Rhinolophus ferrumequinum: one gene and its partner. The protein of the gene in region 1 purifies or fractionates together with the protein of each later gene. This does not show direct contact. Links are inferred from orthologs where the notes say so. Each region holds a gene or a part of one and is shown in the gene's direction. Other genes may lie near its edges.

Region 1 (10,506 bases):
TGTCTTCGGAGCTCCCCCAGATGTGTGTCTCCCATACTCCTCTATGCCCCTCTTTCTGGCTGTCTTTCTTGATCAGAACCCCCTGCATTCTTTCTTCCTCTTATGTCCACTCGACTCCTTGGTGAGCACCAACTAGATTGAATTACTTGCAGTCTCTCAAACGATTCAGTTCTCGCTTCAGGGCATTTTGCTTCAGGACATGCGCTTCCTTCCCTCTTTGTGGAATGTTCTCTCTATAGTCCATGCTTCCCTTGGTTCACTCCTATACTATTGTGTGTCAGCCTAGTTATCTTCCTTGTGAGCCGTCTGGACATGCCCAGAGCACTCCGTATTCTAATACCAGGATTCCGGTTTTCTTACCTTATTTTTACCAGACTGGGAAGTCCTTGGAGGCAGGGACTACCCTTCCTCCACCCCTCGCCCCATCATGACTTGCTCTTATTCTTGGTTGTATCTTGCCATCTCTGTCTGTTCCGTTCTGGGCAGAGGAGGCTGCAGGCATCAGAAGCAGCACTGTCAGACAGCCAAGCGGAGGTGGCATCTCTGCGCCGGGAGACCGCAGCCCAGGCGGCCTCACTGGCTGAGCGGGGAGAGCGTCTCCATGGGCTAGAGATGGAGCGACGGCGACTCCACAACCAGCTACAGGAGCTCAAAGGCAACATCCGGGTGTTCTGCCGGGTCCGCCCTGTCCTTCTGGGGGAGCCCACCCCACCCCCTGGCTTCCTCCTGTTTCCCTCTGGCCCTGGTGGACCCTCTGATCCTCCAACCCACCTCAGCCTCTTCCGGTCTGATGAGCGGCGTGGGACCCTGAGTGGGATGCCAGCTGCTCCCACGCGCCATGACTTCTCCTTTGACCGGGTATTCCCACCAGGAAGTGGACAGGACGAAGTGTTTGAGGAGATTGCCATGCTTGTCCAGTCAGCCCTGGATGGCTACCCTGTATGCATCTTTGCCTATGGCCAGACGGGGAGCGGCAAGACCTTCACCATGGAGGGTGGGCCTGGGGGAGACCCCCAGGTGGAGGGGCTGATCCCGCGGGCCCTGCGGCACCTGTTCTCTGTGGCCGGGGAGCTGAGTAGCCAGGGCTGGACCTACAGCTTTGTGGCGAGCTACGTAGAGATCTACAATGAGACTGTCCGAGACCTGCTGGCCACAGGGACCCGGAAGGGCCACGGGGGTGAATGTGAGATTCGCCGGGTAGGGCCAGGGAGCGAGGAGCTTGTTGTCACCAATGCCCGATATGTTCCTGTCTCCTGTGAGAAAGAGGTAAGCCCTGATGGGCACTGGGCTGGAAAATGGGGAGCAGTGGGTAGGGGGACAGAGATGGAGTGGAATGGAGAAGGGAGCAGTGAAAGGTGAAGGGTGAAGGAAAGGGGAGCTGTAAGGACTGGTTGCCACATTCAGTTTTGGCCGGTGGGCTGTGAGGTCCTTCTGCCTTAACAGAACCAGGGAGTGGGGAGGAGAGGCAGCTTGCGGGAGCAGGGGTGTCGCTGGCTCCCTGACCAGGGATCTCGGGTCTCGTTTCCTACTGCTCTCCTTGCTTCCCACACTAGCCACACTGGCCACCTGGCTCCTCAGCCCGCGGGTCACTCGTGTTTCAGGGCCTTTGCTCGCTGTCTCCTTTTGCCTGAATGTTCCTTTCCTGCAGTGGCTTGCTCCCTCATTGCCTTAAGATCCAGCCAGCCTGCCTAAACTTGCAGCCTCACGTTACTTACCCTCATGATACTCCTTATTTTTCTGTTTGATTTTACTCCTTAGTCCTTGCAGATATGTTGTATATTTTACTTATTTGTCTCTTCACCGCCTAGAAATAAAGCTCCAAGAGGGCGGTGCTGACCCCTGTGCATTGCCGTACCTGACACCACTGTGTACTGACCTCTGCCTGCCCTGCCCTGCCCTTCCCCATCCAGGTGGAGGCTCTGCTCCATCTGGCCCGCCAGAACCGGGCTGTGGCCCGCACAGCCCAGAACGAGCGCTCATCCCGCAGCCACAGTGTGTTCCAGCTGCAGATCTCTGGGGAGCACACTGGACGAGGCCTACAGTGTGGGGCCCGCCTCAATCTTGTGGACCTGGCTGGGAGCGAGCGTCTAGACCCCGGCTTAGCCCTTGGCCCTGGGGAGCGGGAGCGTCTTCGGGAAACACAGGCCATTAACAGCAGCCTGTCCACACTGGGGCTGGTCATCATGGCCTTGAGCAACAAGGTGGGAATGAGGCTGGGTCAGGTGGGGCCTGGAGCTGACCATGCTGAACCCGATCCTAGCCTAGTCACTTGTCCCTCTCAACCTGCTAGGAGTCCCATGTGCCATACCGGAACAGCAAGCTCACCTACCTGCTGCAGAACTCTCTGGGTGGCAGCGCCAAGATGTGAGTGGAAAGGGTCGGAACTGTGATGTTGGGGTGAGGGGTGGGAAAGGGGAAACGGGGTCCAGGCTCCACCAGCCACTAATGCAGGGTTTTGGCCCCCTTTCCTCTCTCCACAGGCTCATGTTTGTGAATATTTCCCCACTAGAAGAGAACGTCTCCGAGTCCCTCAACTCCCTACGCTTTGCCTCTAAGGTGCGGTTACCACCAAGCCCAGCCTCTGTCAGGACCCCTGGGTGACTGTGGGCTTCTCTGTCCCAAACCCTTCTGTCCTTTAGGCCAGGGGCACATTGATCCAGAAAGGATTTATGTTGGCCAGGCGTCTGGGGCACTACCCACCTAGATCCATTTTTTTTAAATTAGTTTCAGGTGTACAAAAGAATGCACTAGCCATTTCATCCCTCACAAAGTGATAACGCCCCCCCCCAATCTATTGCCCCTCTGACTGATATATTCCATTGACTCTATTCCCTATAGATCCATTTTTCACCTGTTGGCTTTTTAGGGATTTTTAAGATTTTAAAAAGAGGTGGTTAAAAGGTCAAAACTACATATAAAGCTATATACTACTCCTGTCCGCCCCATGCTCCCCACCTGTCATTTTTATCACTTATCATTTTATTCTTCGAATGTTTGCTTTTGCAAATACAAGCAATACACTTGTGCTTATTCCCCTCCTTCTTACATACGAGTAAAAGACATCTCTCTCCCTCTCTTAGATTTATGTTATTCTACACTTTATTTCGCCTAACAAGACAACCTGAAGATTACTCCCCACAGGCACACAGAAATCATCCCATTATTTTTATATTTGCCTAGGACTCCACTGTGGATACACTGACGTTTATCACCTCTATTAGGCACTTGGATTGTTTCCGCCCCTCTTCTGTTACAAACAAGGCCATGTTGACTAACCTTGTACATATGTCATTTTCTATTTGCTTACTTACATCTATCTATCTAGGGAAGGATTCTTTGAAATGGGATTGCTGGATCAAAGGAGATTTAGAGGTTTTTCCAAATAGTGTGAGTTCAGGCTCCAAACCCCACGAGGGTTAGCCATGGCCATGGCTATGAACTCTCTAGGAGACTTATGTTCCCTCCTCTAGAGCTGAGTCAGAAAGTTTCTTTACAGTCTGCCTCTGGAGGGAAATTTTTTCCCTGAGACTATACCCTGTGATGGGTTCTGGCTTTAGTAAGAGTCTCTGATCACGTGTGCCTTTCTGCCGCACTCAGGCTTCAGCCTGTGTTGTTGCCATGGAAGTAGTCAACCGCCTTCGCACCCTGACCTGGTCTTCTGCTTTAATCAGGATTTACCTTGCTATCTTGCAAGTTCAATTAAAGGTATATCAAATCGTTGACACCCAACAACTTGAACTCTTTAATATCCTCTAATACCCAGTTTATATTACATTTCACCTGATTGTCTCAGAAAATGTCTTTTATACTTTGGTTTGTTCTGATCAGGATCGAAGCAAGGGCTACTCATACTATTTGGTTGAAATGATCTCTTAAGTTTCTTTTCATCTATAACAACCCTGCCTTCTTTTATGGCATTTATTTGTTGAAGAAATTGGGTGATTTGTCCTATGGAATAACTATATCCTGGATTTGGGCTGGTTGCTGCCTTTTTCTTCCATAATTGTTGTTGTCTTAGGAGTTAGGTTTAGAGGCTTGATTAGATCTGAGTCAGGTTTAAATTTCTTAGCAAGAAAACTTACATGGGGTTGTACACGTTCTATTGCATCATAGCAGGAGGCACCTAATATCTAGTTGTTCCACTTTCAATGATATAAAAATTGATCGTTGGATTTGGGTATTGTCAGCCTGATCTATCCATTAAAAAACTCCCTATCAACTTTTTTACCTAGTGATTTGATCAAACAATGATCATACCTAGGTCTATTGTTTCATTGAGTTAAAATGGTGATGATGATGATGATTTTTATTTTTACTTTTTAAAAAGTTTTGGTTTTTTCCTATTTTTTCTTTTTTCTATTCTTTATTTTACTTTATTTAAAAATGATTTCCTGATTTTCTCAGTTCTACTTTAATTAGCCCAGATTCTTCTATAAAGTGCTTCCTATTGCCATCTATTTGATTACTCTAAAATTCAGTCCATATAGGAAAGTTGGGATAAATGTTGAATTCTTTATCAATTTTAAGTATACATTGATACTCTAGCAACTTCCAAAGGTAAACAGTGAGTTTTTATCAAGGGGTTATCTTTACAGATGCTTATGTATTTGATATGTGTCCTTGTCAGTTGTCATTCATTCTTTTTATGCTCAAATTACTCCATCTTTGTCCAGTGGGAGCTCTTTCAAATTGACTCTTGTGTCCCTTAGGTCCCCAGTAGTCTTTATTCTAGGTTCATCTTGTACATTGCCTGCCCTAGACTAGGAATCATTCATTTTCCAAGGAGCCTTGGTTCCTAAATGAGTGTTGGTATTGTTCTATCTAGTTTATTCAGCGCTAGTGATGGGAAGGATTTGGGGTCTCTAATCCACAGTATTGCTAGAAATGAAAGCTCCTTCTCTGTCTGCTCCTGTGTGGTGGGGCTCCCATCCCTTCTCAGGCCTTTTCACCACTTTCAGACCTAGTGTGCCTAGTGGACATAGAACCAACCATGGGGATTGGGAGGTTGATCTTGGGAAACCCAGCCTGTTGGTTACTCTGAAAATTTTTTTATCCTGTCTAACCCCCCTGCCCGCAGGTGAACCAGTGTGTTATTGGTACTGCCCAGGCCAACAGGAAATGAAAACAGATCCAGATCCTGGGGGTTGGGGGGTTGGGGCTGAGAGGGTGATTTGGGGGGGGAAGGGGGGGCACTGTGTTACCTGGACCTATTAAATAAAGAAAAGTTTTTTGGGTTTTTTTTCAAATAAAGGTTTTATTAGCAATTGCTCAAGAAAGGACATATTTTTCACATCTGTAAATATGGGGCTGTGGATCTGTCCACTCTGCCCAGCAATTTGTGTTTTGCAGTGCAAAAGCCTGCACTTTGCTTTTCTCCCTGACAAGCTGTACCCTGAGTGGCCTTCAGCTCCCATACTTTCCTGGTTGTCCACACCTACCATGTTTCCCGGAAAATGAGATCTAGCTGGACCATCAGCTCTAAGCCCTAATGCGTCTTTTGGAGCAAAAATTATAAGACTGGGTCTTATATTAATTTTTGCTCCAAAAGACACATTAGAACATTAGAGCTGATGGTCCGGCTAGGTCTTATTTTTGAGGAAACACGGTAAGAGGTGTGCCCACTAGCTATCCACAGCCACTAGTTGTTTCCCCGCTTGCCACAGGCCACCCTAGCTCCGGAAAGGTGGCCACCTGAACCCAAGGACGGGACTGACACACCCTCCCATTAACTGCTGGCTCTTTCCTCCCGCCCTTTCCCGGCCTTCGCGTTCGAACGGCCAGGCCTGGCCCTGCCCGCTGCCCATTGGCTGGCTCTCGGCGGCGTCACCGCCTGGGTTCTAGCCCTCCTTGGTCGGCGCCCCGGCCCTGGAAGTGCGGGGCGGGGCTCACGCCCGCCGAGACCGTCGCGCCAACAGCCAACGGCCGCCGCCCCAGAAAGGAGGGGCTCGGCCCTCCCAGGTGCCGCGCGCAGGAGGGGTCACGCGTGCGCAGAAGCTAGGGGGGACAACTTGCCACCTAGAGGGTGGGGCGGGGGCAAAGGCGGGAGAGGAGGGCGGGGCACTAGAGGGAGGTGGGCGCGGAGGGGGCATAGGGAAGGGTGAATGGAAGGCGGGGTCGTGAACTGGGGTCGGGGGCGGGACTTGGAGTGACCATGGAGGTTGGGGGGGCAGTTAACGGATGTGGCATGGGGCTGGGGCCAATCCGGAGGGCGGGCTGCCGGGAGGCGGGGGATTCCCTCCTGCCCCCTGGGCGGGTCTCCCTTCCGAAGAAGGGGCTTCGGGGATTCCCTTTCCCGCCAGGTCAGACTGTCCGCCCGCCCCACCAACGGAGAGGCCGCCGCTGGCTCGGCGCCCTCCAGGCCTGTTGGAGGTGAGGGAGGTGGGGTGAAGTAGTGCCCGTCCCCCCGCCCCCCGGCTCCTCCTTCCCCCCAGTCCTCCCCTCCCACCACCCTCCCCCCGAGCCAGTTTGTCCCTCCCCTCCCCTCCCCTCCTTCCCCCCGCCGCCTCCTCCTGCCGCTGCCGCTGCTTTGGCTGCTGCGTCATACGCCCCAGAGCCGCCGGGACGGAGGGGCTGGGCCTGGGGACCCCCCGGCCTCTGCCTGCACGCCCCCCGACGCCCAGACGTGCCCTCCCGGCGCGGGGGGTTCGCCTCGGTCTCCCACGTCTGCCTCTGCCCAGCTCCCGGCGTCCCCAGCTGTCACTGGTAAGGAGGCGGCGGGAGGCGCTCGTGGTGGGGGGGGAGCAGGGAGCCGGGGGTCGGCGCGCAGGGCGCCAGCGGGAGAGCCTCGTCGCCCTGGCATCGGGTCCGGCTGGGCCGACTGAAGTCCCCTGTTGGACTCGCGGTCGTGGGTAATAGAGACTGGGACTGGGACACGCCCCCCTCCCGGGGCACTCAGGGAAGTTATCTAACCCGAGGGCAGGGAGCCCCGAATTTGAGGGCGACCTGACATAACCTGACATCAGGATAATTGTTCTGAATGAGACACGCGGGCCCAGGGAGGCAGCTGTTTCTACTCTGGAAAACATCGCTGGAAAAGCTCCCAAAATACATCTCTGGGTAACAGAGCACCCCAATTATGATACCTCTAAACAGCAGGAGAAGGTGACAGTAGAAACTGAGTGGTAACCTTTGCTTCTGCAACCATTGTTTCTGCTAAAATCTCAAGGCCAGGATATAATATCCCAGGGGAGGTCTGGAAGCTGGGAAACTAGAGAACTAGGTTGGGGGTGGGGGGGGCCGTTAGGGAGAGGAGAGGCAGTCACCAGAGTTGGGAGAGCTGGAGTCAAGAAGCTTGGGAGGGGTGCTGATTGGTTTCCTATCCAGGTGTCTCAGGGATTTGGAGACTGGTGGGGGGGGGGGGTGTGCAGCTGCTTCAGTCCTTGACAGAAAAATAGGCAAATAAGGAAGGTTTCTTGGCTTTCATAACCTTCTCCTCCCATTCCACTTCTGGCTAGGCCCCCCCCAGGATGCAATGGCACAGCCTCCCCGGCTGAGCCGCTCTGGTGCCCCCCCACTTTGGGACCCAGCTTCCCCTGCTCCCACCTCAGGCCCCAGGCCTCGACTTTGGGAGGGTCAAGATGTGCTGGCCAGATGGACAGATGGGCTGTTATACTTGGGGACCATCAAGAAGGTAAGACCCTTCTGACCTGTCACCTCTCCCCATTCCCCTTATCTAATGCTGATTCCCATTTCATCCTCTATGCTCACCCATTCCAGGTGGACAGTGCTCGGGAGGTGTGTCTGGTCCAGTTTGAGGATGATTCCCAGTTTCTGGTTCTATGGAAAGACATTAGCCCTGGTGAGATCTTAGAGGCCTGGGAGTGGCTTCCCATGGAAGACAGAAACCTGGCTTGGGGGAGAGAAGGGGACCTAAGGACAGGTTCCTTGACACTGTGTTCCCTCATAGCTGCCCTCCCCGGGGAGGAATTCCTTTGCTGTGTCTGTCGCTCTGAGACTGTGGTCCCTGGGAACCGGCTGGTCAGCTGTGAGAAGTGTCGCCACGGTGAGAGGGCAGGACACCTGAGTGGTCCAGCTTGCCCTAGGCCCTCTGGGCGGTCTCTGACCCTTCCCACCAGGACTGGTCCTATGCCACCTATTCTGGCCTCCGTCCCCAAGCTACTGCTCTGGCCAGTCTCCTTGAACCTATAGTCTCACTCCCTTCCAACATAGGAAAAGGCAGCCATGGAATGGGGCTGTGTGAGCTTTGCAGGCAGAGGGTGGTTCAAATACTCCCTTTTCAAACCATAGGACTTTGGGCAAGTCCCTAAACCTTTAGGAGCCTCAGTTTTCTCACCTGTAAAATAAGGGTAATACCCCTCCCCCTCCCCAGGACCATGGTCAAGGATTAATGAGATAAGATTCTTCCTATCCTGATACCTAGCACACGCAGGTTTGCAATGCAATAAATGCTCTACCATCGATAATATCATTCTTCAGCTTATCACCAGGACTGCCATGTTCCAAGGGCCCCAGCCCCAGGAGAGGGAGAGGGCACATCCTGGGTCTGCCGCCAGTGCATCTTTGCCATCGCCACCAAGGTAAAGGCATCTTCCTGTGGGAGCCTCCCACCCACAGCCTCTCCCGAGTCTTTCTCTCCCCACCCCTCTGAAGCAGCCTGCCGGTTCTCTCTCTGCAGAGGGGGGGTGCACTGAAGAAGGGCCCCTATGCCCGAGCCATGCTGGGCATGAAGCTATCTCTGCCATATGGACTGAAGGGGCTGGACTGGGATGCTGGACATCTGAGCAACCGGCAGCAGAGCTACTGTTACTGTGGTGGTCCTGGGGAGTGAGTAATGAGGGGGCGGGGTTAATGAATGAGTGACAGTGTGGTGGTGGGGGAACCCCAGGGAATGGAGAAAGAATGGTGAGGGGAGTGCTGAAGGGGGTGGGAGTAGGTGGTGAGCAGGGTTGGGGCAGTTAAGGAGGGAGTGTCTAGAGGTCACCAGTCCCGTGTCCCCTTCAGGTGGAACCTGAAAATGCTGCAGTGCCAGAGCTGCTTGCAGTGGTTCCATGAGGCCTGCACCCAGTGTCTGAGCAAGCCTCTCCTCTATGGGGACAGGTGAGACCAGGGCACTCTCCAGGAGCCCAGGGGGCCCTCTTGTTCTCCCCACCCTCTCAGTTCCCCCACACCCGCCTGCCCCAGATCCATTCTCTTCCCAACCTCTGGAGTGTTTCTCACTGATTCGCCCATCCTTGGGTGCTTGTGAGTCCTCCAGAGCATGGTATAGTTTTCCTGTCTAAGGTATGTCCTCTCCTTGCTCACATCCAGGTTCTACGAGTTTGAATGCTGTGTGTGTCGGGGGGGCCCTGAGAAGGTCAGGAGGCTACAGCTTCGCTGGTGAGCTGGATTGGGCATGGCCTGTGTAACTCCTCTCTCAACACCCTGTTTTTCACCCTACCTGCCCCAGCCTCCCACTCGGGACTCCCCTGGCTTTTGTAATGCTTCCACAACCTTGACACCTCAGTGTTTCTCCAGGGTGGATGTGGCCCATCTTGTCCTCTATCACCTCAGCGTTTGCTGTAAGAAAAAATACTTTGATTTTGACCGTGAGATCCTCCCCTTCACCTCTGAGAATTGGGACAGTTTGCTCCTTGGGGAGGTAAGGAAGAGTGAAGGTTTGGGTGTTAAGGTGGAACAGGGAGATGTGAAAAAAAGGGAGAGGGAAGAATCAAGCTCCCTTGAGCCCATTTTCCCTCCCTTCCCCCAGCTCTCAGACACCCCCAAGGGAGAACGTTCTTCCAAGCTCCTGTCTGCACTCAACAGCCACAAGGACCGGTAAGTTGAGGAGAGGCTCAGAAAGAGATGGAGGTGTGGAAATGGAAGCCTGGGAGGGGAGGCACTGCAACTCAGCTGGAAGGTCATCCCTGGAAAGGGCTGAGTAGTGGCGGAAGAGTGATGGCAGCACTGACCCTGGATCATTTTTCTTCTCACCCCAGCTTCATTTCAGGGAGGGAGATTAAGAAGAGGAAATGCTTGTTTGGCCTCCATGCTCGGATCCCTCCTCCTGTGGAGCCCCCTACTGGAGATGGAGCTCCCACCAGGTCACTGGTCCAGGGGGGATGGGGAAATTCTCAGGGTATTAATCGGGGTATATGTATGGAGATGGGGAGGTCTTTGGGGTGTCCGGGAGGGGGCTGGGGGGATAAGGAGGCCTCTTACAGCTTCCCTTCAGGGCAGGGCCCTGGGGGAGGGGTCTCACGTCCCCTGGGGAAGCGCCGGAGGTCGGAGCCAGAGCCCCTGAGGAGGCAGAAGGGGAAGATGGAGGAGCTGGGGCCATCCTCAGCAGTGCGCAATCAGCCAGAGCCCCAGGAGCAGAGGGAGCGGGCTCGTCTGCAGAGGGCACTGCAGGTACATGGACGGGGAACTCCATGGGCAAATGGTGGCATGGGAAGGAATCAAGGATTCTCTCTCAGTCCCTTCCTCATCCTTCTAGGCCTCAGTGTCTCCGCCACCCCCCAGCCCTAACCAGAGTTACCAGGGCAGCAGCGGCTACAACTTCCGGCCCAC
Region 2 (10,628 bases), on another chromosome or scaffold:
TTTTTTATTAGTGTTTTTCAAATAGGGCATTGCTGGTTTTGATCTACATTTGAAAAGTCTCCGAGAATCTCAGAAAATAATCATGTAATCAAAATACATTATTTGCATACTTTAAAAAACAAACCTGTACAAGAGGAAAATAGTGGATAATATTATTATTCCTAAAATTAAGACTGGTGATTTTAAAACAAGAGCAATGTTTCATTTCAAAAACCAAAATAAATTTATCATTCAACAATTTTTCATGCACGAATAAATGTCTTAAGCTCTTCCACATGTATTGTTTCATTTAATGCTCACACAAACCTCTTCTGGAAGAACAAGACATTGGAATTGTGGACAAAAAGGGAGTGGATCCTCTGTTTGGCTCAAAGAAATTTTCATAAAAATTGTTTATTGTTAAGTCTAAAATAAGTTTTGAAGGATGGGGGAGGAGGGAGGATTCCAGGAGCACCCACAGAAGCACAGAGGAGTAAAACAAAATTCTCAGGAGGTTTGGACATTCTTATGTAGATATTATAGAATTGTCTCCATTAAAAAAACAACAACAAAACTCTTTTCTTAGGTTAATGATAGTCATTGTCATTTGCATTTATCCTTGAAGACCATATTTGGATTTGGGAAAAAGTAAAATTACATCAAGTCTATTTACTCAACACTAAAAGTTAAAAATTTCACCTGTTTCTATTTTCCCTATCTTAGATAATTATCTAGAAATTTGGTCCAGCTATAAACCCAAGTGATCCTATGACTCTCTCGCTTCAACCCTCACATACCATGTCTTGTTGATATTATTTCTGAAATACCTCTAGAAACAACCCCTTACTTTCCATCTTTGTTGGCACTGCCTTGGTTCAGATCTGCGATGTCGCAACAGCTTTGAAACTCATCTCGCTGTCTCCAGTCTTACGCCCTGCTGTCTACCAAAGGAAAAACTCTTCTTTGGCCACCCATTACTTACAGACCAATGACATAAGGCTTTTCACGATCCATTCCCTTTCAGATTAGTAAGACACCTATTTACAAATCATATGCCAAAGTACTAAAGTTATGCCGTGGAATATACGTCTCCAATGACTAAAGTAACAAATGTCCACTCTTTAGCACACTTCCTTCCTATTACCAAGGAAACAAGAAAAGTTAACTAGCAATCAGAAGGCAGTTCTTGGTAAGCAAAGGCATTCCATAGTCGTAAAGGGAGATTTTATTGACTGAAATCTACCATAGATTTCCATAAACTTTCCTTAATCCACAATAGAGTGTACTTTTTCTAGTGTTTGTAAAACAGCATTTGCCTCCACTGGATTGTCTCTGCCTCTCAGATTCTACTAGGGAAACACTGACCAACCCCTATGTCAAAACTTATCAAACTGTATACTTAGGACCTGTTCGTTTCACTATTATAAATGAAATTCCAACAAAAAATTGAAATAGAATAAATGCCATTCTAATTCCTTCTGTGTTTTATCTAATTCTTTCTGTGCAAGAGATATATTTTTACATCGTAATCTTAAGATGGTCTACAAGGTCCTGCATGATCTGACCTCTACTTTTCTAGCATTACCTGTTACCAAGCTCCTGTCGCTTTTTCAGTCCTTTACCAGCACTAACCTTTCAGTTTCCCAGTGGCATATATTCCTAGCCTGTCCCAGAGCCTTTGCACGTGCTGTTACCACTCCCTGGAATGTTTCTCTTTCTCTTCCCTTCCACCTGGTTAACTCCCATTCTTCTTTTAGTTCTAATTCTTCTGTCTGTTCCTCAGGGAAACCCTCCCAAATCTCACTTGATTATGTGTCCACGAAACTGTTTGTAGGGCTGCTATGTATGCTTGTGTAAATTGTTCATCTAAACAAGGGTTCCTAGCTGAGGTGATAACGGCTGAAATCCAGCTTGTGCTATACACACAAAGCCTTGCACAGGAGCAGGCCTGTGCCAACCCAGAAGGGCTGCCTTTTTCTAATTCATCAAAGGCATTGTCTGCGTGCCACACACTGCCTACTCTGGATTGTTTCTATGGGGCACCTTTTAAAAAATAGTACAAAGATACAATGTTGGCAAGCAGCAGCCTGACCTTGTACTTCCCCATCATATTATAGTACTCACCACAGTTGTAATTGTGTATTTATTTGTGCGAACATTTGGTTAATGTTTGTTTCCCCCAGTGAACAGTAACCTATGAGTATAGGACAATAGGAAACTGTCTGATTTTGCTTATTATCAAGGATTCCCAGCACCTAGAACAGTGCCTGGCACATAGTGGGTACTCAGTAAACATTTATTAAATGCATGAGGCATTTGTAGTGCAGGAAGAATATTAGGTTTTTTGAAGGTACTAGAGACTGTGTCTAATTTTCCCTTTTTATCTCCTCCCTTCCCCTGCAATTACCATACTGCTTTGCACATAAATGACATTCAGTAAATTCCTTCTGATTGATTTTAAAATGTTCAAAGAAGCCATATGATGTTCTGTTCATATGCTCGCAGATCCATAGAAAACTGGATCTGTGAGCATATGATTACACACTGCATGAGTGATGATGAACAGCTGCTATGAAGCTGAAAAGACAAAAAAATGTTGAGTGAATGAGAAATAGACTTCAACTGAAATGGGAAGGATTTAGTTTAGCTTTTGAAACTCATTTCCTGATATGAAGCTTAAAAGATACTAGAAGACAATACCGAGGCTGTGAATTTTCTTTTTCTTTATAAATAATTGATCTTTGAAAATTTTCCAAGGTAGAACAACCATTTATTTAAAGGCAAAAAGGCATTTCTGACTAGAGGTCTCAGCAGTCTAATATTAGATCCACTTAAAAAAAAAAAAAAAGAACTAAAGAGGTTTTTTTGGGGGGGAGGGATACTTTTACAGAAAAGTTGCAAAGATAGTAGAGCGTTCTGTATACCCCTCATCCAGTTTCCCTCACTGTTAACATCTTACATTGTCATGGTACATTTGTTAAAATTAAGAAATTGAAATATATACGTAACTATTCACTAAGCTGCAGACTTTATTTAGATTTCCCCAGTTTCTCCAGTTATTTCCTCTCTGTCCCAAGCAAGACAGTTTTTATATGTCCTTCGATAGTGTATGAAAGATTACATGGTCTAAAGATCAAGCTCTGAGAAAAGAATTACATAAACCTAGAGATGACTGGGTCCATCTTGAGGCAAAAGTACTTTGGTTTTTCAATCAGTCATGCTTAAATAAGATCCCTAGCTATTTTGAAGAGAGCTGTGTTTGGGGGCTAATTGGTTGATTTCACTAAGCCACAGTTCACACATTTGTGAAATGTGGGTAGTAATACCTCTCCACCTATGATGGCTCCCGAAATCCTTTACAGTAGGAGAATTCAGTGTTAAAAATTTACAGTTTTTTAATAGGTAATTAAGCTTTTGTGTTTATTAAATTAATACCATAAAGATAGCATGCTGAATAGGAAACCTGCGGTATTTTACATATGTGAAATTAGTAACAAAGACTCTCTCCTTGAACAAACTTTGGTCAGGCTCCTCTGAGTTCTCCTCTCAACTAGGCATTGCGCCTGAGTCTTTGCCTGCCTAGTCCAGATGTAGTAAGAATTCTGCTAAGTCAGTTGAAAGAATCTTTCCCTCTTGTTATCTGATCACCCTTGATAACTGATCAAATTCCTCATCCCTCACCCTCGATGTATCTGATCACCCTGGCAAGTTGCTTTAGGAAGAAGCCCCCTCTCCTTGATGTCTCCTCTAGTAAGTTTCCACCCACCAATCCCTGTAGGGGAGGAAAGTTTCCCTTTACCCCCCGAGGTTTGATAGCTGGATCTATGAAATAAACTGACAACAGGCAGGTTACCAGGAGGAAAGGTATACAAATTTATTAATTTTTAATATTGCATGTGCAAGAGCATCACAGGGGGAAAAAGTGGATAGCCAAAAAAAAAAAAAAGCAGTGAGATTTGAGAGCTCATACCATCAAAGTAGGGGAAAGCAAGGGATGTATACCACGTAAGGGAGAGTAAATGACAGTTTGGAAAGATAAATGGGCCCTTAGATGAATGGGTGTGGTATGGACTTCTAATCTCTTCTGTGATAAGAGTCAATTTTCCCTGTTTGATGAAACTCCTGGGGAGGGGATTTATGACAGTTGAGTTCCTTTTGGAGGGTCTGTCTTTAGGCAGATAAGGGGAGTTCAGAGCATACTTGTTTCTCAAGTACCTTCAGTTCAAAATAATCAATATACCAAGCAGCATATTGTGGTGGCACATTCTGAACTCCTTCATCCCCGACTCTGCTCCTGGATTAAAAAACCCTCGCCTTTCTGTATTCAGAGTTGAGCCCTATCTCTCTCTCTCTCACTGCAATAGTCTTGACACTTATTACAATAATCCCTGGTAAAATTCCTTGCTGTTTTAATAAGTGTCAATCTTTTTTTTAACATTAGTAATAATGAATATTAACTGATTTCCATTTATGATCCCTGACTCATCAGAAAAATTTAAAAATATCCCTCCAAGTTTTAATAACAATAGTTAAAAATATTTTTGCTTTGCTACCCATAACATGCTTGCTGAAAGGCATTATCCTTCCATATGTGTCTTTTACCCAAATATTCAGCACTTTTCTAACTTTATTACTAAAAGTTGTTTCCTACTTCCCAGCTCCCACTGATGTCACACATTTTAATTTGGTTTGGAAATGCTTTAGTTGATTATCCTTTATTTGTAGAGATATATTCACAAACATTCTTCTCAACAGACAAGGGGAGTATGTTTCTCTGCTGTTTCTCTGCATGAAAATGTCATACAAAGGCACATTTTACTTTCTCAAAATTAAGAAACCATACCATACCGTACGAGTCTGACACCATACCAGTCAGTCTCTCTCACCAACTGAGGAGTGCTTAGCAGTGCCTGGCACATTAGAAGAGTTCAACAAATTACTGCAATTAACATTACTAAGACTTGAACTTTCATTTGTTTTAGCTTCCTTGTTTTTCTTGAGTCTTCATTGAAAAAACCTCTTAATCTGCCCTGCCTTTGCTTTACCTTCCTTTTCTCATTCTTAACTGAGTTCTCTTAGCTCCAAAAGGAAGAGTACCTTGCAATCTGCAGATATTTTCTCTATTAAGGCATCATGCAGAAGTAATTCAGTACCCTAGAATTTTATGGCTGGGGTACTCTATACTGGTTATCCTTTGGGCGATGTAATGAGGTTTAAAAGAGAAAAATATATATCCAACTGGGTACCTCCAGGAGGTCACTCCCAGGGGCTCTGTCCAAGTGGTGTAGGGGAACATAGGGCTCTGCCCCATGATGTACAGTCCCTTTCCACAACGTTGGAGATAAAGCTGAGCCTTGAGTCTGCGCCTGCATATTCCTACAGCTTCTCAGAGTCCTGTGGACAATGACTGAAGAGACAAACCATGCGGGAAACACCTCGCATTTAAAAATAAATAAATAAATAAATAGATAGATAAATAGGTAAATAAAATTTTAAGAAAGAAAAAATATAATATCAAGTAGGTGCTCAAGAAATGTTAGGTCCCTTCCTGTCTTCTCATTTTTACAGATGAGGGCAAAGAGGCCCCCCAAAATAGTCACAACCAAATTATAAAAAAAGGGAGAGGGGTTCTTATTTGTCATTCTCCTTTTTCTGCTGTTCATTCGGTTTTGTGGCTTAATGACCCATCTAACAAATCCACCGAGGCTCACCAATGTATTTGGCATCTGTCAAGCGCCTAGACATGGTAACATTTAAAGATAAACTTTTTTGGTGAATAGTTTCCTTGCCTACTTCTAAAATTTTATCGTATCTGGTGCGCCAAAAAATATTGTCCATCGTTTAACAGTCTCATACATAGTTGGAGATAACCATTGATTTTTAGGCCTGGGCCTTGTTCAAGGCCTTGATAATCCTGTGTAACAGTTAAAAAGAGCACTTTGGGCTGTAACTCATTGGAGTCTAGAATGTAATTTTTGGATATTCCTACTTAAACCTTACTCAATGTTGGCACCAACTGGGTGAGGGCAATCATTCATCGCAATACATATTCATCAGAATAAATATTCATCAAGAGTTTAGGATGCGTCCATAGACTATGATTTGGTAGCGCTTTGAAATCCACCCTAGGCTACGGAAACCCGGTGGAAGACTACCTGGTTCAGTAAGACTTCCAAGAGGAGGGGCTTGACGGAGGCGGGTTCGGGCAACCCAGCGCGAGAATACGCCCCGGCGCATGCGCACATCTTAGCGGGTAACTTCCATTTGCTTGGCGGGGGAGGCACATGAGAAGCAGTCTATAGTTTTTGAATTTCTATTCTTAACAAAAAATTAGATAGTAAACAATACCATGAATAATGTGAGAGCGTTATCCTCCGAGTTCAAAATTAAGGACACTTGACATACACCGTTAAAGCAAGAGGTGATTTCTCATATCTTCCCCGTCCCCTGGGACATTGGTGGTCTAGTCCATTCCACAGACTTTCGAGTCCTTGCAGCGGGTCGGGGATCGAAGGATTGGGCCAATTGCGGCTGAAACGTCTTTGGAAGGAGGAAGGGGGTGAGGGGACATCCCTTTGAGTTCCACCTCTCCTTTTTCGAGGCGGTAGTGGGGAAGGGGGACCTACTAAATACTGCCCTCGAAAGCCAACGGGTCACACCTCTCCCTGCAAACTGCCGGGAGGGCGGCGGGAAAAGGGCAAGACGGGAATAGGGAGAGGGAAGCAGCCAGGAAGCCGCGTGGGAGGGCGCGCGAGCGCGCGCCCCTTTTTCAGCAGTGTGGCGGGGTCGCACGCACGCCCGCCTCGGCGGCTGGGCGCGGTTTGCGACAGTGGGGGGAGCGGTGGAGGTGGCGGCGGCAGTGGCAACTTTGCGGCAAGCTCCGGCCGGGCTTGCTTGACGGCGGTGTGGCGGAGGCCCCGCCCCAGGCGGCAGGAACCTGGAGGGAGGCGGAGGAATATGTCCGAGAGGGAAGTGTCGACAGCCCCGGCGGGAACAGACATGCCTGCGGCCAAGAAGCAGAAGCTGAGTAGCGACGAGAACAGCAACCCGGACCTCTCTGGGGATGAGAATGTGAGTAGAGCCCTGAGCAGTCCGGATGGGACTCTGGAGTGAAAGTTTTAAATTCTTTTTAAACTGTAGAAGCGGGGGCGGGCGGCTGTGGGGGGAGGGAGAGGTGTCACCCTCTACTCAGGAAAACGCGGGCGTGGAGGAGAAAATCGAACTTGTTTCTGTGGGGGTTTGAGTTGGGGCCGAAAGCAAGAAGAAACTTGGCGGAAAGATCCTTTTGCGTGGGTGGGGAGTGTTTGGGCCTTTGGGGGATTTGGGGAGAGTGCGGAGCTGAGATTCCAGTAGTTTAAAAGGCAACTTAGAGGTTTTCTGAGAAAGTTAGAAGGAAAGGCCAGGGTATGTTACGGACTCTTTTACAGGAATTCAGGGACCATGTCACTCCTAGACCCTTGCAGACAGCTGATGGGAAGAGGAGATCTTAAGGAGTTTCGGTGATTATTGTAAAGGGGGTTTTGTGTCTGCTACCATCCTGTCCGTGGAGGTTAGTCGGCTGTTTTAAGGAGGAGCAGAGTTGAGAGGGTCGTCTTCTGACTTTGAGGGGGAAACCCTCCTTGAGGAAGGAAGGAGAAGGGACGGTTAGCCTTTTGAAAGAGTTTACAAAGATAAAGGGGACAAACTGGAAGATTTTAGGCAACGGTGGTGAAGGGACATGTCTTTAGGTGTGGGCTCGTGGATTTTTAAAAAAGAACTCTGGTAATCATCTAGTCCCAATTGTGTTTAGGTGAGACGCAGGTAATAAACGAATTGACATTAATTGTCAGTTTCATTCATGTTTTAAGTTTATATCCAATAAAGTCAGCAAAATGTCTTGACAGTTTATTCAGAGATGTTAATTACTCCAAAATGTGAACCCCTTTTCATGATACATGTCTGAGTGTCGATTTAAAATCTTTAAAGTGTTATAGGAGGGTGGTGTTAAGTTCTTCATTTTCTCAGTTTGGCTAGTTTTAGGAATAGATGTAACTAACCTCTTACCCAGTTTTTAAATTCTGCATCTCAATTACATCACTTGTTGAAGCATATGTGGCATGGTGTCATGACCAGAATTTTCACTGAAGACGTGGAAAAGAATTCTTTTTGTAAATAGAAGAAAGATATTTAGGAAATTGTCAGTTTGTGGGATTTGGACTTGAAATTTCTGGAAATCTTAGGCATTGCATGTTAAATTTTGTTTGTTTTTCCCAATTTTATATATGTATATAAAAAATAGCATTTTTTATGCCTTTCATTCCAGTCCTTGGAGCCTGTTTTATTTCTGCCTTTTTTAGGCAATTAGGTTAGTAATTAGGAGCACACACTGGATCCAAATGTTAAATTAAAATCTTAACTCGGCTACTTACTGGTTGCTTGACCTTGAGCAAGGTACTTGAGCTAGTTCCCTCAGTTTCTTAAAAATGGAGGTAATATGTTTACCTCGTGGAGTATTTGTGAGGATTAAATGAAGTTAGTATAGGTAAAGTGCTTAAAAGAATGCCTGTCTCATAATAAGTTTATAGAAGTGTTATTTAATTACTATTAGTTATTTTGTGATCACAAAGTGTAGACTTCCACATAACAAACGATCAGGCAGAAATGTAATTAAGAAAGTCAGACTGAGGAAGATTTCCAAGGACCAAATAAATTGAAAGTTTACTTTCTTTACAGCTTAATGAATACTGTGAAGCCTTCTCAGAATAACATTTTTTAAGTGTATAAAGTATATGAGGTTACATACAAAATCAGTGATAAAATTTTAAAATATGTTATAAAAATATTTTAAAAACAAATTTAAGATTTGTTTTAATTGAACTACTTTAATATAAAGTGTTTAAAGTGCTTCTTTAGCACATTAAGTAACTAGATCTAGCGGCACGTCTGATAGTAAGGGGGATACATAATATTTGAGGTCTGCAACAGCTATATGATATAAAAATACCTGGTTTCCATTGGTAAGAAAGTCACAGCTACAATAACATTAGTACGTATGTTACCTCCATTACAGTAGAAAGTGCTGAATTTCAGATAAAGGTGGTGAAAATTAAAATGCCTTTTGTTTTCTTTTGGATCATTTCAATTCACAGGCCCTAGGAATTTATCTAAGGATCACACAGATATTGGACACAGGTTAAGGGAAGGGAATAGAGAATGCTGTATAAAAATGACTTTAGGGGCGGCCGCGGGGCGGCAGGTTAGCTCAGTTGGTTAGAGCTCGGTGCTCTTAACAACAGGTTGCTGGTTCGATTCCCACGTGGGCCACTGTGCGCTGCGCCCTCCACAACTAGATTGAAACAACTACTTGACTTGGAGCTGATGGGTCCTGGAAAAACACACTTAAAATAAATAAAAGTTAAAAAAAAAATGACTTCAGAAAAAGCAAACAATGGCAGTGGTTTTACTCTTGAGGGAGCTGAATGATGACAAGAAGACCAAAAGCAAGTGGGGAAAGGATGTGGTGTTTTTGAGTTGGAGGTAAGGTAACCTGAGTAGTTGCTACTTTAAGTGAATCAGGATTAAAAGGACATTTGTTTTTTTGAGGTGTAATTGGCATATAACATTAATTTTGGGTGTACAGCATAATGATTTGATATTTGTATACCTTGTGAAATGACCACCACAATAAGTCTAGTTAACATTCAATATGTTTATTATATATGTATCTGCCATTTTATTGAACTTTTTAAAGATCGTATGACTACAGAGTAGTTAGTTCAAGAGAACTAATGGTTGCCTGGTGGTATCAGAGGGCTAAATTTGGAGACTTGTCTTTTGCTTAAGTAATCTGTGGCAAGATTAAGGGACAAATTACTTCGTTTCCTTGTTGGGCAAATGAAGATGATAGTGCCATATCTGTTGCACAGTGTCATTTTATACGTTCAGGAGGGGCCAAGGTGAAAATCAGCCTGTATACATACTAGACACTCAACAAAGGTTTGATTTTAATTTAAAGATAAAATGAAATGGTTGTGAATACATTGCATTTCCATTTGATTCCATCTTGATATGCCTTTGGAGAAGATGGGTAAATTAAGCGCTCAAAAATAAAGGAAGAAAAGAAATGCAACGTGCCTTGTTATAGACAGTGTTTTGTTTGGCTTCTTGATTAGCAGTTGAGTTTAGCCAGAAAGTAAAGAAGCTGCTGGGGGGGCGGGGGCGGGTGAAGGGATTGAAGGGCAGTCGGTGACCACAGGATGGCCACGGGGTTTGAAAATTAATCTGGGGAACGTAATTTAGCGGTTACCAGAAGGTAAAGGGGTGGGGGGTGGGTGATGAGGGTAAGGGGGATCAGGTGATGGAAGGAGAACTGACTCTGGGTGGTGAACACACAATGTAATTTATAGATGATGTGATATAGAATTGCACACCTGAAATCTATGTAATTTTAATAACAATTGTCACCCCAATAAATTTAAATAAAAAAACAGAAGCTGCTGAAAAAATTTGTGCTAGTTCTATTATTTCATTCTGTACTGTTAAAAGGTAATTTTCAGAAAAGTAAGTGAACGTGTTAAAATTTTATTTTATTCATGAGGGAACCAGGCAAATGTAAGTCAAACAATACAAATTTACATGGATTGAAAGAATGTAAATGTGAAATTCCAAAT

What was found. Proteins that work in one complex are often made in the same cells at the same time.
Region 2: the proteins of PHF1 (region 1) and EED purify together in Homo sapiens (affinity purification with mass spectrometry; 8 studies listed by BioGRID and IntAct, with this or other methods). This does not show direct contact. The link is inferred for Rhinolophus ferrumequinum from reciprocal best matches to the Homo sapiens genes PHF1 and EED.

Annotation. Positions count from the first base shown.
Region 1 is NC_046286.1:3,719,799-3,730,304, forward strand, and holds the start of PHF1 (PHD finger protein 1), read left to right. Parts: upstream 1-6,082; 5' UTR 6,083-6,702; intron 6,703-7,454; 5' UTR 7,455-7,471; coding exon 7,472-7,630; intron 7,631-7,716; coding exon 7,717-7,798; intron 7,799-7,906; coding exon 7,907-8,002; intron 8,003-8,436; coding exon 8,437-8,537; intron 8,538-8,635; coding exon 8,636-8,784; intron 8,785-8,961; coding exon 8,962-9,057; intron 9,058-9,267; coding exon 9,268-9,336; intron 9,337-9,474; coding exon 9,475-9,598; intron 9,599-9,706; coding exon 9,707-9,774; intron 9,775-9,935; coding exon 9,936-10,040; intron 10,041-10,160; coding exon 10,161-10,347; intron 10,348-10,432; coding exon 10,433-10,506. Other genes in the region: kinesin-like protein KIFC1, read left to right, coding at 487-1,266, 1,911-2,201, 2,291-2,364, 2,481-2,556, 5,078-5,122. UniProt on the Homo sapiens protein: Polycomb group (PcG) that specifically binds histone H3 trimethylated at 'Lys-36' (H3K36me3) and recruits the PRC2 complex. Involved in DNA damage response and is recruited at double-strand breaks (DSBs).
Region 2 is NC_046294.1:59,083,323-59,093,950, forward strand, and holds the start of EED (polycomb protein EED), read left to right. Parts: upstream 1-6,088; 5' UTR 6,089-6,936; coding exon 6,937-7,050; intron 7,051-10,628. UniProt on the Homo sapiens protein: Polycomb group (PcG) protein. Component of the PRC2/EED-EZH2 complex, which methylates 'Lys-9' and 'Lys-27' of histone H3, leading to transcriptional repression of the affected target gene.